Macaca mulatta: one gene and its partners. The protein of the gene in region 1 interacts with the protein of each later gene in a pairwise test. Links are inferred from orthologs where the notes say so. Each region holds a gene or a part of one and is shown on either strand. Other genes may lie near its edges.

What was found.
Region 2: the proteins of PNMA1 (region 1) and MCM7 interact in binary tests that used the Homo sapiens proteins (3 or more experiments, as listed by UniProt). The two-hybrid records come from large-scale screens. The link is inferred for Macaca mulatta from reciprocal best matches to the Homo sapiens genes PNMA1 and MCM7.
Region 3: the proteins of PNMA1 (region 1) and APTX interact in binary tests that used the Homo sapiens proteins (3 or more experiments, as listed by UniProt). The two-hybrid records come from large-scale screens. The link is inferred for Macaca mulatta from reciprocal best matches to the Homo sapiens genes PNMA1 and APTX.

Annotation. Positions count from the first base shown.
Region 1 is NC_133412.1:146,882,944-146,888,545, forward strand, and holds PNMA1 (paraneoplastic antigen Ma1), read right to left. Parts: upstream 3,500-5,602; 5' UTR 2,697-3,499; coding exon 1,635-2,696; 3' UTR 829-1,634; downstream 1-828.
Region 2 is NC_133408.1:47,402,729-47,407,395, forward strand, and holds part of MCM7 (DNA replication licensing factor MCM7), read right to left. Parts: coding exon 4,661-4,667; intron 4,472-4,660; coding exon 4,347-4,471; intron 4,272-4,346; coding exon 4,091-4,271; intron 3,778-4,090; coding exon 3,640-3,777; intron 3,360-3,639; coding exon 3,210-3,359; intron 3,026-3,209; coding exon 2,911-3,025; intron 2,826-2,910; coding exon 2,694-2,825; intron 2,464-2,693; coding exon 2,380-2,463; intron 1,579-2,379; coding exon 1,185-1,578; intron 887-1,184; coding exon 803-886; intron 1-802. UniProt on the Homo sapiens protein: Acts as a component of the MCM2-7 complex (MCM complex) which is the replicative helicase essential for 'once per cell cycle' DNA replication initiation and elongation in eukaryotic cells.
Region 3 is NC_133420.1:66,389,213-66,394,166, reverse strand, and holds part of APTX (aprataxin), read right to left. Parts: intron 3,903-4,954; coding exon 3,676-3,902; intron 1-3,675. UniProt on the Homo sapiens protein: DNA-binding protein involved in single-strand DNA break repair, double-strand DNA break repair and base excision repair.

The DNA.
Region 1 (5,602 bases):
CCCACAACCGCGCCCGGCTAATTTTTTGTATTTTTAGTAGAGACGGGGTTTCACCGTGGTCTCGATCTCCTGACCTTGTGATCCGCCCGCCTCGGCCTCCCAAAGTGCTGGGATTACAGGCGTGAGCCACCGCGCCCGGCCTAGATTTTTTTTTTTTTTTGAGACAAGAGTCTCACTCTGTTGCCCAGGCTGCAGTGCAGTGGCGCAATCTCGGCTCACTGCAACCTCTGCCTCCCAGAGTGATTCTCCTGCCTCAGCTTCCCAAGTAGCCGGAATTAAAGGCACCCACCACCACACCCGGCTAATTTTTGTATTTTTAGTAGAAAAAACTAGATGGCTCATGCCTGTAATCCCAGCACTTTGGGAAGCCGAGGCAGGTGGATCACTTGAGGTCAGGCGTTCCAGACCAACCTGACCAACGTGGTGAAACCCATCTCTACTAAAAAAATACAAAATTAGCTAGGTGTGGTGGCACATGCCTGTAATCCCAGCTACTCAGGAGGCTGAGGCAGGAGAATCACTTGAATCCGGGGGAGGCAGACGTTGCAGTGAGCTGAGATCGCTCCATTGCACTCCAGCCTGGGCAACAGAGCAAGACCCTCTCTGCCCTTAATAAAAATAAAAAATTTAAAAAATTAAAAAATAAACCAAAAAAATGTTAAGATGACAGCAAGAGGGGAAGGAAAAAAAAGGACTTGCCATTTAAATTCACATAGTATCATACAAAGCTTAAGAGTAAAATAAATGGTTTAATGACAAAGTCTTCATAAGAAAAAAGGACAGAGTTTACTTAGGCTAAAAATGTTTATACATGCCAGAAAAATGAGAAGACAACAGAATTTTTAAAATATTTTAATTTGTATATATAACTTCAAATTTAGAACACTCAGTATGAACAAGAACTATTCTCTGACAAAGATCTGAAATGGGGAAGTGAATTACTGTACAGGTGCATATCAACCTCTCCATGCAATTTACATCTGTATCTTATGCAATGAGAAACTGGTTTACACAGCTCCGTAATTGCAGTATTTTTTTAACACCCCATTTTGCAGTCTCAGAATACTTTTCAATTAAACTGATCGACATGTTTAAAGATGAGAAATATGATGTTTGCATTGTAAAGTTGAGTAATAGCTAATAAATGCACATTTCCTTCCATCAATATAAATCTGGAACTATTTATGGTAAAGAAAAATCTATCTGCGCTATCAGTAATCTAATAGTTCATACTTTTACTGAACACTTCCTGTGAGCCAGGCCCCGTAGTAAACATCTGCACATGCAATTTCACATTCAGTGTGGAATAGGAAGTGTCAGAGGTTCGTGTGTTTTTCACAACTGATTATGATGTCCATGATGACAGCGTGCACTAAGCGCTGTGTCCAACCAACCCTTTACCTGGCACTTTAGCCAGCAAGACCCACTTGCATTGTAGCAGCTCACGGTGCTCGCTTGCACAATTTTAGAATGTTACATGAATACTCAGGCCTGACTAACCTTCCCCTCCAAAAAAACAACAAAACGGAACAGGGCTAAGCCTTTACTACTCAGAGACACATCTGTAAGACCCCCACAGGGACAAGAAAACTAGCTGTGATCTAGGTCTGCACTAAAGCTGTCTTTTCTGGCACTCAGAAGTGCCCTTCCAGGCCTAACTGCAGAAGGGTGGCCTCAGCCTCCTCCTCCTCCTCCTTGGCTTCCTCCTCACGGATCTGCACCAGCAACTGAAAGAGGTTTGGGGCCGGCCCTTCCCCAGCCCCGGTAAGCCACAGCTGCCTTCGGATGGCCCCGCTGTGGTTGGCCCCAGCAATGACCTGCTCTAGGCGGGCCTGGTTCACGTTATCTTTATCAATGGCCCCCTTCTCTACCACCTTCTGTAGCAGAGGCTCCAGACGAATGACATAAGCAGACAATTTTTCTCCCGGGTTCTGATAAGTGTTCAGAAATTTGATCTGGGCATCCCTAGAGCTCTCAACGCTCCCAAACACCTGCTCAAGCGCCTTCAGGCATTCGGCAGTGGTTATCGCGGGGTTGTTGGACTTGAGGATGCGAATGACATCAGCGGCAGGGCCTCTAAGGCTCTCCATCAACCGCCGCCTCTTTTCTACATCGGACACCTGCCACTCCTCTAGGACCTCATTAGTGTGCTCCAGCCAGGGATCAAAGGTTTCCTCTCCAGGCCCTGGGATGTCCCTCCCCGAGAAAAGTGTCAGCCTCTTGTACCATATGGACTCAACAAGAGGCTGAATAACATTATCCAAAATATAGTTTAGCATCTCTGCTGGCATCTCTGGGCCCGGGGTCGGAGTAGGGTTCTGAAACCCAAGGACACGGGCAACATCTTGCACGGTCCACCCCTCTCTAGCTAGGAAGAGGTGCAATCTTTCTAAAAATTCAGCATCAGAAGTTGGGGGCTTAAACAACACTTTCCAGACCCCTCCTTTGCCCGGCATCTCCCTGGGGATCGCGGCGTAATCGACAGCGCCAGTGAGCTCTAATAAGGCTGCTTTCGCATTTTCTTCCCTCCAGAACATTCTCCCAAGCATTCGGTAGGGGACCTGGGGCATCGCTGCCTGGAGGGTCTCTTCGATTTCAGCCTCATCACAGTTCACTGGGATGCCCCAGACCAACAGAGCTCTCTGGGAGTTCACATCCATCCCCCGGCACCAGTCTTCCAACAGTGTCATCGCCATTTTCTCAACTATCAAGACGCCAATTCTACCAACAGACTGTGGCTCACCGTACTCCTGGCCTTAGAACAATACCAGACACTCCCACCAAGTAGGCCCAAGGGAGGTAGGCTTCATGCATTCACGACTAACAAAGACACAGAGTCCTGATCTCGCCCTTCTCTGCCCCCCCAGTCAGTCCGTAGGTACACTTGGAGCTGAGCTCGGGGACGCTGAGGAAGTCACGCGGCCGTCGCCATCTTGCGTCTGGGTCCGGGTCCGGTCGGGTCTGCCGCTTGCAGCCGGGCTGTCGCGTCGTCGTGCAGCGGGCAAGGAGCGAGGGCGGGCGGCGAAGGCAGGCGCGCTGGGTCGAAAGCAGCCGGGGTGTGGTCGCGGGGCGTGCCCGCCGGGCGCTCGCTGCGGCTCCTGGAGAGGATCGGGCGTTCGCGGTCGCAGCCTGGTCTTCCCGCGGGCGAGGAGCGGCCGTTTGGGAGACTAGCCAGAGGGAGAGACTGTGCCGAAGTCGCGGCGGCTGCGGGCCAGCGGAGAGCGGCTTCTTGGAGGGCGTGGGGACTCCTCTTGGCGGGCGCGGGGACTCCTCTGGGCGGGCGGCGAGGACGGCCGAGGACCAGAAACGAAGGCAGCAGAGGAGCAGGAAAGCCGGAGAAGCGAGGCTGGAAACAGCACAGGCAAGGGTGGGCAGCGGCGGCCGCGGCGGCCTGCAGCGGCTCAGGCGCTGCGCGGCTGCCCCAGCGTCGAGTCCTACCCGCAACCCGCTGCGACGTTACTGCTGCAGTGGAGGATGGGGCCAGCCCGCGAGCGGCGTCAGCCCCGCCCCGTCCCGCCCCTGTGGCGGAGCCGCTCGGGCGTCGCCATGGCAACGGCGCCCCAGCTGGCGCGAATCACGCCTGCTCCGGCGGCCCGCGGGGGTCGAGCGGTTGCCATGGTGCCAGCGAGGGGCTCGGGCATTTGTTTCTCTGATGGCGCATTTCCTTTTTCATAATTTTCCATTTTAACAGCAAACAAATACTGCTAAGCACCGTGTTTTAAAAATAATAACCCAATCCTGGAGTGGATTTAAGATGATACTATTGGAAGTCATGGCATCCCTCATGGTGGACTTGTCTACTCGGGTTGCCCAGCCAGTCCACCCTGCACGTGAAAATACTCTCCTCAGAACCCTGGCTTCCCGTTACCCCTGACCACACTGTGCACCCTGCGTATTTTATCCCAATGAAGCCGGAGTGCGCCATTTTTTGTGTGAGATACTGAGTTTAGACTTTTTCTTGTCTAAACTTTTGTAAACATCTGTTTGTCTGTGTCTACTGAGTCATCTTTTAGCCAGGCAAACATTAGTGTTATTTTCCTTTTCCTGGCTGGCATCGACAATAGGCTGCTAAAAGAGAATCCTTATGGCTCAAAAATGTCGAGTAATCTCCCTGCAAGCAAGACAAGGCCCACTTACATCAACCCCAGATGGTGAAAATCCCGAGAGAACATAGCATTCAACTCTGAATTTTTAAAACCTTATTTAATAAAAGGTTTAAAGATACAGAAGAACATTCAAAAGTAAATAAGTTACATAGGTACATTACAATCACATCAGCAAGATTCTTTAGTGTATTAATTTTTTCTTATAAAAAGCACACAAAAAATAAAATCTTCAGTCTCTATCACAACTGTACAGCAAAAGAGGTAATATTTATATGTATGTACACTATTTTAATATGTAACAGTCTTTTTCAAAAAGGGTGCCACAGGCAGCAAACACACAAAAGGCAGTGTCTGATCATTTTTGTTTCAAAATAAAAGGAATATACTTATTTATATGCTATTAAAATATTTGTACAATAATTACAGACTGTCAAGGCTGTTCCTGTGCTCTGTCCCCTCCAACAAGGCCTTCAACTTAGAGACAAATGAGGAAAAAGTGAAACAGCTGCAAATTGTTAGAGGCAAATATTAACATAGCAAAATGTGGGGAGGACACAATTGTTTTATAAAAATATCCCTACTTCCTGTAAACCTATGGAGTTAGGCTTGCCAGTCTGATAATAAATACCGTCCCAGAAAAGCGAGCCCCAGTGAAAACAACTAAACAGCTGAGGCTTGAGCATGTGTTGTATTCCTCCTTCATCTTAACATCTGGCACATGAGAAGAAAGAGGTTAGGTCACTGAGGCAGTTAAATATAGGCGATCCCTTTAGACATAAGCAGCAAAAGACCTTGGTGCCAGGAGTGGAAGGGGGCGCGGCAGAAGGGGTGGTATGTACCTTAGCTGTGAGGGGGGCTGCTGAAGGCATGGAGGACAGTAATGATGGCTCTGCCTCCTTGGATGGGTGGAGACCTCAGAAATGGTCTGCAGCACAGGCACTAGGTCAGTTTCCCGCCCTTAGCTGAATGCAGATGGATGCTGGGAGATGGATATGGTGAGATGGTGTGGGGAGGATGTTAAGAAAGCTGGAGGTGTTTATCACTTCTCAGAGCTCTGAATATAGGGAAAAAAACAACAAGAGACAAGCCCAGGGAGAAAGCACCATTAAGGATATACCTATGCCAGCTTCTATAGCTGCACCTACTTTATTGGCAAGTCACTTGCCACAATTACATCTACCCTCTAAACTTTTTAATTTTCACACTGTATCCAAGACATGAATGCATCCTGGAGCATGGACCTTCCTAAAATATGGTGTCTGGCAGGATTAATGCAGAGAGGTACCATCTTGATTTTCCCCAGTTACATTCACCGGGTCTGGTCTCTGTACGCTTAGAAGAGTAGAATCACTTTCTTGTTTAAACATTTATGGCCGGGCGCGGTGGTTCACGCCTGTAATGCCAGCACTTTGGGAGGCCGAGGCGAGTGGATCACCTAAGGTCAGGAGTTCAAGACCAGCCTGTCCAACATGGCAAAACCCCGTCTCTACTAAAAA
Region 2 (4,667 bases), on another chromosome or scaffold:
GATGATCCAGACCCCTCCTCTGAGCGCATGACACGGCAAAACAGATATATTTAAAGAGAATAGTTTACAGAATATTTAAAAGGGAGTAAAAACCTGAGGGAACACTGGAGGCTCGTGGAAAAATAGCGATAGAGGCCGAGTATCCAGAATGCCTGGGAGCAGGTGTTTTAGACTTCAGATTTTGGAGTATTTGCACATACATAATGGGATAGCTTGGGGATAGGACTCCAGTCTAAACATGGAATTCACCTGTATTTCATATACAACCGACACATATAACCTGAACACAATTTTATTAAAAATATTTTTGTGGGCCAGGCACAGTGGCTCATACCTGTAATCCCAGCACTTTGGGAGGCAGAGGCGGGCAGATCACTAGGTCAGGAGATTAAGACCATCCTGGCCAACATGGTGAAACCGCTCTCTACTAAAACACAAAAAATTAGCTGGGCGTGATGGCGTGCACCTGTAATCCCAGCTATTCAGGAGGCTGAGGCAGGGGAATCGCTTGAACCTGGGAGGGAGAGGTTGCAGTGAGCTGAGATTACGCCACTACACTCCAGCCTGGCGACAGAACAAGACTTTGTCTCAAAAAAAAAAAAAAAAAAAAATTGTGTAGGAAAGTTTCCCATGTCCCTATTGTATAAAGTGTGGAATTTTCCACTTAAAAGCTGATCTCAGGCTTTGGTCATGTCCGAAGCGGGAAGTGGTGGTGTGAAAAACACACGCTAAGATTAAGCACTTTTTCAGGAGGCTCGCATGGCCCACTCAACGTTTGCCCGTCTGCACCCAGCTCTCCTACCTCATGAGCTTCATGTCCAGAGGTTCGAACTGGGAGGGGGGCTGCCGGCTGTGCTGGTGCACATAGGTGATGTGCTGGGCCAACCTGGATAGAGGGGAGGCCAGGAGGAACATCCTTTTTAGGGCTACACACCCATGTCCTCTTAGGTGTCCCTCCCTTGACTCTGCCACTTCCTTACAGTATAGGAGGGACACGCTTTCCTGAAAATCCTCATCAGCATTTCAGCCCCAACCCACCATTTCCCCGAGAACCGTGGACCAGCCCCTGATGCAAGGGGGAGGCTCTGGGGTTTCCAGGAGCACAGTATTTGTTTTGATTCACCTCCCCTCCTCCCTATAGATCATTACAGGGGACCTCTCTTTGGGTGTTGAGCTCCATTCACCGTAGGTCATTGTCTCGGTCAGGCCGGTCCTGAATCAGCCAGAGGAGGTCAAACCGGGAGAGCAGCGCGGCAGGCAGCTGTATGTTCTGCTCCAGGCTGCGGCGGGGGTTGTAGCGCCCATAGGCAGGGTTGGCGGCAGCCAGGATGGAGCAGCGGGCATTGAGTGTAGTAAGGATGCCGGCCTTGGCAATGGAGATGGTCTGCTGCTCCATGACCTCGTGGATGGCTGTGCGGTCGGCCTCGGCCATTTTGTCAAACTCATCAATGCAGCACACGCCCTGGTCAGCCAGCACCAGAGCCCCACCCTCTAAAGTCAGTTCTCCACTCACGGAGTCTCTCAGCACAGCTGCCGTAAGCCCCACTCCCGAGGAGCCCCGGCCTGTTGTGTACTGGCCTGGAAGAAAAGAAATAAGGAACCATAAGAGAGAAAGAACAAGAAGGGGAACAAACAAAGGACAATAAATGGGCCAGGGAAGCAAGGCCTGTGCTGGGATCATTCCACTGCCTCCCCCAGGCCTTCTTGAGACGCCCGAGGATCTGTGGGGGGCTGGCAACGTTCCCCTTCCCCTCCCACCGGTTCTCTTCAGAGCACAACTGTGGCTCACTGACACCCTGGCTCCTGGGCTCAAGCCATCCTCCAGCCTCAGCCTCCCAAGTAGCTGAGACTATAGGCACTCACTACCACACCCAACTAATTTTTAAAACTTTTTAGTAGAGGCCAGGCGCAGTGGCTCACACCTGTAATCCCAGCACTTTGGTAGAGGCCAAGGCAGGCAGATCATGAGGTCAGGAGTTCGAGACCAGCCTGCCCAACATAGTAAAGCCCCATCTCTACTAAAAGTACAAAAATTAGCCAAGTGTGGTGGCACGTGTCTGTAGTCCCAGCTACTCAGGAGGCTGAGAAGGGAGAATCGCTTGAACCTGAGAGGCAGAGGTTGCAGTGAGCCGAAACCACGCCATTGCACTCCAGCCTGGGTGACTGAGACTCCGTCTCAAAAAAAGGAAACAAACAAACAAAAATACCCAAACAAACAAACTTTTTAGTAGACCAGCCTGGTCTCAAACGATCCTTCCGCCTCAGCCTCTCAGAGCATTGGGGTTACAAGTGTGAGCCACCATGCACCCCCATTTTTTGAATAAACACTGTGGCCCTATCTGTCACTATGTTCACCTCTCCCAAGGCCCAACTACTTACTGCGGGGGGCCAGCCGATCAATGTACGACAGGAGTTGAGACTTGGCCACACCAGGATCCCCCATCAGACAGATGTTGATGTTGCCTGGAGGAAGGGAAGGCAGCCCTGGAATGACTCTTCTCCCAATACTTAGACAACAACAGAGCAATTTTGAGTTCTGCCTCCCTCTAACACCCAGCATTACTTCTAAGCCCTCCCTGTGTCCATGAACGCAAGATGTCCACTCTTATACTCTGACCTACAGAGACACTTGTCATCCTTTTTCCCTCCTAAATGACTTCATCCCCCCGAGCCTCTCCCTTTTTCCTTCTTACCCCGGATCTTCATGCCTCGAGGAGACTGGTCCACACCCCCCACTAGCAGAAGCAGCAGTGCCTTCTTCACATCTTCGTGCCCATATATTTCTGGGGCGATTGAAGCTGCCAGCTTTTCGTAGAAATCCTCTTCTGTAGAGAAGTTAAGGTTGTATTTTTTGGGGGAAAAGGGGGCTAGGATGTAAATGGAATTTCCTCTATCTCCCCTGCCCCTCACCTGCAATCTGCCTCAGCTCCTCCCTGCTGAGCTCTCCAGCCCCAGACTCATCATCCTCACTCTTGTTCATCTTCACAATCCGATGGGCTTCCAGGTAGGTTTCTGAGAGTAAACCCTTGGGCAGGAAAATGCCAGGATACAGATGCAATCCCTTCAACTTGCCCATCACTGGATTCCCTAACGATTTCTTGACAAATCCCTGGGTTCTGTTTGGGGTTTTGCTGCCCACTTTTCTCTGTGCGAGTAGAATGAGTAGGTGAGGGAAAAGGGGACGATCCTCATGTCAAACTCTTCCTTACCTGTACCACCTGTCGGAACCCAGTGCGCAGGATTGGCAAGAAGATACCAGTGACGCTGACGTGGTCTCCAGGCTGGGCAATTCTCGTGTTCTCTCCTTCTACCAGCACCGTGATACTACGAGGGATGTTTCCCACGGGCACTTGATCACTCTAGGGGAGAGAAAGGCACATAAGGCCAGGAGAAATGGACGAGGACCCAACCTTCCCTCCCTAGGCATCCCACTCAAAGGCTCCCAGGCTGCCTAGTCACAGACAAGCCCACAGGAGGGCTACTGAGTTTCCCCTTCCCAAGGCTCTCAGAAATTCTAGTTCCACTTCCCTCCTGCACTTCCCTCTTTCGTTCTTCTTTTTTCCTGCCACTCCACAAGTGACTACAGGATTCAAGTGGACTCTCAATCCACCTGCCCAGGGCCACGTACCCCAAACTCACATGTTCTTGCATCTTCATCTCCTGGAATTTGATGAATTTGGAGCCCCGTGTCTGCAGATACAGCCGCCCTCCTGAGCGGTTGGTTTGGCACTCCTGGCTTGGGCACATGATCAGAGGCATGAAAGTTGGAGACTGGATCTAGGATGTGAGAACAGAAGCACCAAAAGGAAGTCAGAAGCAAAAGAGCCCCATTGGGTCGGTCGGTTCCTTGAATCACATTTTCTCTTCATGGCAGACATCTTGGAAGTGTCAAGAACCCTTTGAACTTAACTCTGGGTCAACAACAAACACCCAAGAAATAGGTAGAAAGACCATGACATACCCAACAATGAAAGGCAAACACACAGACAACTTTTACAAGCAAAGAAAATGATAGGCATCACAGGATCAAATTAATCTCTACAAAACGACTAATGGGTAAGGGCTTTCCTGCTCCTTGCTCCACACGTACCGGCTGGTAGGTCTCTGCCCCACACTGGTCACAAGTGTAAGTGGCCACCACCATCTTGGGTTTGACTTCAGAGACACGAGTGACAATTCCACGCACAGTCACCAATTTCCCCACAGAGTCAGCCCGCACTTCCCGGATCACACGAGGCTTGTTGCTACTTGGGCCTTGAAAATACAGCTCACTAAGGGGAGAAAACAGTCACAAACAAGATCCTGGAGAACCAATCCCTACATACTTCCCAACAGAGACCACTCACAATCTGCGCATGAGTTCAGCAGGGTACTGGTTCTGGGGGCTTCGGGCTGTTCCAGGGTCCCGACTCCGCTGCTCCATCATCAGCCGATGCTCAATGTAAACGTCCAGGACATCTTTATTTACCACCTAAAGGAGAACAAAATAAACAAATAAATAAATAAACGAGCAACAGGATGGGGAAAGGAGAGCGCAGAGAACACGAGACTGAAGTGCCCCTTCTTTCTGCCTGCTCAGAAAACATCAGTATCTGAGCAGCCTCTCTACAGAAGCTTAAATGCCTTTCCCTTTGTTTGCCATTGTTCTCTAGCCACTCACTTCCCTC
Region 3 (4,954 bases), on another chromosome or scaffold:
TCCTGCGACTATTTTATGGGTACACTAGGACTGAACAAGTAAATGAGTTTATTGAAACTAATGAGAGCCAGGTTTCTCACTGTTGGAGAAAGCAGTTACAAAAAAGGAAAAAGGGAAACAAGAATGAAACTTACAGAGTTGGAATGGTGTCAGAGATATCAGTATGAACTCGTGATTTTCCACATACAAATAAAGGCAAAAAAACACAGAATTATAGGGCTGTGTGTGTGTGTATGGGTTAGGATTCATACAGGTATTTCTGGCTCTATTGGCTGAGAGGACCTAGATGCAAGGACACCCTGGAATCAACCACTTCTCTGACAGAAACCTAGGGCCCAAGACCTAGGGCTCTTTGGAGAAGTGGTTCATTCCAGATAAGCCTGGAACATCTTGTGGGGCCAGAAAATAAATTGCCCAAAAGATGGTGAAGGCATATCAAAGTCACACAAGAGCTGACCTAAACGGGCTTTCAATAACCAAAGCTGAACAATTTGAGCAACAAAATAATTATAGTATTGAATTATAACCTATAGAATAAACATCCATGAGTCCATACTATTAAATGATTGAATAAAGAACTAATGAGAAAGACGGAACAGCTGGTTCACACAGAATAATTTCAACCAATAAGTTAGGTGAAGGAAGTATAAAGTCACTATAGAATAAATACCAATACAATAACTATTACAGGCAAGATGAACCAGTAGATGCTAAAATCATTGGGTGCAAGTTTGAGGAGACATAGTAGCATAGTCTCAAAATATCTAACCCAAAATATTCATGAATTTAAAAAAAAAAAAAAAAAAAAACAGTCAATTTTGAAGGTGGAAACCTGGCAGACACCACCTTAACAAAATGATCAAGGTTAACATGACCAGTAATAAATGATCTCAACATCATGCCACCCCCATATGATATATTGAGAAGGACACAATCAGAAACATCACGTCAGTGATTTAAAAAATGGATAATGTCAACCTAATCATGAAAAAAAAAATTAGACAAACCCATATTAAAAGACATCCTAAAGACAATTAGCCAGTACTCATCAAAAGTGTCAAGGTCATGAAAGCCAGGAAAGTAGGAATTGTCACAGATAGAGGGAGACTAAGAAGAGAACAAATAAATGAAATGTGAGATTGGATTCTGGAGTAGAAAAAGAACAATACAGGAAAAATTGGTGAAATTCAAATAAGGTCTATAGTTTAGTTATCTACAGTTAGTATTATGGAAGGTCTTTGTTCTTTTTCATACTTAATTTTTTATTTCTTAACTGAAAACATTACTTTTACACTAGGAAAAATAAATTTACTTATCACCTTTTCCTTTCTAACATGTTCATTTATTCAAAATTACATCATACAGAGTAATATAAAAGGGTATATAAATAGCAACTTTGCTTATTGGCTCAATTTGCCTCCCATATATACCTACCACAGCTCTTGCTGTAAGCATTCTCCATAGCATGACAACATTCACTATATGAAAAAGGTAAGGGCATCATGATCACTATGTGAAAAGGGCTCAGTGGCCAAGGGCTCTGTTAGTCAGGGGCTCTGCATTAGGGAAACAGGATTGTGGGTGACTTTCCCTCCTAAATTTTCAAATCAGGCTTTAACAATACAAATATATTTTTAAAGTGAGGTACAGCATACATCCACCCTATGACCTAACAATTCCATCTCCAAATATTTATTCTTTTTTTTCTTCTTCTTCTTTTTTGAGACAGAGTCTCACTCCGTTGCCCAGGCTGGAGTACAGTGGTGCAACCATAGCTCACTGCAGCCTCAACCTCCTGGGCTCAAGTGATCCTTCCATCTCAACCTCCCAAGTAGCAGGTGTGTACCACCACCCCCGGCTAATTTTTTGTATTTTTTGTAGAGACAGGTTTTGCCATGTTGCCCAGGCTGGGATCCCTAAATATTCACTCAAGGGGAAAAAATAAAATAAAGTACATATGTCCATGATACACATAATAACACACATGAATCTCAAAATTATGCTGACCCAAAAAAGCCAGACCAAAAAAGAGTATGCAATGTATGATTCCATTTATACGTGGTAGCTCTAGAAGAGACAAAAACTATCTATGCTGAAGGAAATAAAAGCAATGCTTGAGGGAGGATTGACTAGAAAGGGGTAAAAGGGAACTTTCTGGGATGAAAAGATAAGACATCTTCTGTATCTTAATCAGAATGATAGTGGCAAGATTGTACGCACTTATGAAAACTGATCAAACTATGCATCTTATGCACTTTATTGTATGTAAGTTATGCCTCAATTTAAAAGAATCAGTACTGACTAGGGAAAAATCTGGCACAAAGATTTCATTTGGTTAAAGTGGCCAGTAACCTAAGTCGTAATTGTTCACCTAAATAAAATGTGAGTGTTGGTAGTTAAAATAAATAAATAAATAAGCAGAGAAAATCCTGTCACATGCTACAACATGGATGAGCCTTGAAGACATTATGCTAACTAAAATAAGCCAGTCACAAAAGGACAAGTATGTCCCTGTATGTAGGTACCAATATGAGGTACCTAGAGCAGTCAAATTCACAGGGAAGGAAAGTACAATGGTGGTTGCCACAAGTGGGAGGAGGAAATGGAGAGTTATTATTTAAGGTACAGAGTTTCAGTTTGGGAAGAGAAAACAGTTCTGGAGACGGATGGTAATAATAGCTGCATAGCAATATGAATATAGTAATGCCAATGAATTGTACACTTAAAGATGACTAAAATGGGCCAGGCGCGGTGGCTCAAGCCTGTAATCCCAGCACTTTGGGAGGCCGAGGCGGGCGGATCACAAGGTCAGGAGATCGAGACCACAGTGAAACCCCGTCTCTACTAAAAATACAAAAAATTAGCCGGGCGCGGTGACGGGCGCCTGTAGTCCCAGCTACTCAGGAGGCTGAGGCAGGAGAATGGCGTGAACCCAGGAGGCGGAGCTTGCAGTGAGCCGAGATCGCACCACTGCACTCCAGCCTGGGCAACAGCGTGAGACTCTGTCTCAAAAAAAAAAAAAAAAAAGATGACTAAAATGTAAATTTTGTTATGTATATTCTATCACAGTTTTTAAAAAAACAAAATAAAAACTCTAAAATCTAGACTCATCATCTTATTGCTTAAATCAAAGGAATCATGGAGATCCACCTTGCTTGTATCCTTTGAAAGAAATCAATCATTCCTTTCTGAATCCTTCTGGGCATAAGCCATAGGAAAACAGATTCTACACTTTTCTGTCATTTTATTTTCAAATCCTGCATCTACTAAGCTGTCATTACAGAAGTCTATGATGTTTGTTTCCTTCAGAGTAATGGTCCTTAATCATTCTGGGGTTACAGATGCTTTTGAAGAATCTGATAAAAGCCACTGACCACAATTCTTCATCTGAGGATAACGAAGCTGCTTCATCTAGTTCATATATTAGGCTCTCGAAGGTTTATATTTTGAGAGGAACAAAGAACCAAATGTAACTGAATTATAGGCAGAAGTGGGAACTCAAAGCTTGCATGCAAGTCAGGCAGAGAGATGGAGCCTTCAGCCCACCTGCTTTGGAAAAACTCCATCCCACTTCCCTGGGCCTCAGTGCAATCAGTGCCTTCAGCAAGCCCAGGCTTAATCTATCTGCCCACCTGGACAGAACCAGGAGCCAGCAGCACTACCCACATGGCTTACCTCATACTCGGAATGGCGTGGTAGCCCAATCGGAAGCGGAGTTTGCTGGACCCAGCAAAATCTACAATCACCTTTTCCCCCACAGTGTGCATATGCTTGAGGAGTTCAAGGTGCTCCCTGGTCACAGCCTTCAGACTGGAAATGGCGGTCCATGGTAAGACCAGCCAATGGTAACGGGCCTTTGGGTATTTATCCTTTATTACCACCACCTGCTCATCTTTGTAAACCTAGCAGAGGGACACAAGAGAAGGAAGCAGACATCTACTAAGAATCTTCTGTGTGCCTGGTTGTTATATTCTCTAAGTCACTTAATTCTCACAATCTTGTGCAAATAGTTTTCATAGCCCAGTTTTGAGAGATGAGAGCACTGAGATTCAGATAGGTTCAGTGTCTTGCACAAGTCATAGTTCCTAAGAGGGAAATCTAGGATTTCAACTCAGATCTAGCTGACTCCAGAGTCTGTTTTCAACCACCACACTACACAGAATACACAGAAGATGCATAGTACAAAATAGTTCCCAAGGATCTGATGTAAAATCTCTGTAGGCATAAATTCAAAAGCATCCTTCTCCACTCCAACATGGCAGACTGTGTGACACATACACATGGGTTCCAGTGAGCCCTATTAGACCTGCCCCTTGTCAACCAGGAATGTAATTGAAGTGTAACTCAAAGGCTCCTCAAGGATGATGCCTGGTTTTTTTTTGTTTTTTTTGGTTTTTTTTGTTTTTTGAGATGGAGTTTTGCTCTTGTTGCCCAGGCTGGAGTGCAATGGCGTGATCTCAGCTCACCACAATCTCCACCTCCAGATTCAAGCGATTCTCCTGCCTCAGCCTCTCGAGTAGCTGGGATTACAGGCATGCGCCACCACGCCCAGCTAATTTTTTTTTTTTTTTTTTTTTTGAGACGGAGTCTCGCTGTGTCTCCCAGGCTGGAGTGCAGTGGCGTGATCTCGGCTCACTGCAAGCTCCGCCTCCCGGGTTCACGCCATTCTCCCGCCTCAGCCTCCCAAGTAGCTGAGACTACAGGTGCCCGCCACCACGCCCGGCTAGTTTTCTGTATTTTTAGTAGAGACGGGGTTTCACCATGTTAGCCAGGATAGTCTCGATCTCCTGACCTCGTGATCCACCCGCCTCGGCCTCCCAAAGTGCTGGGATTACAGGCTTGAGCCACCGCGCCCAGCCTAATTTTTTATATTGTTAGTAGAGACGGAGTTTCTCCATGTTGGTCAGGCTGATCTCAAACTCCTGACCTCAGGTGATCCTCCCACCTCGGCCTC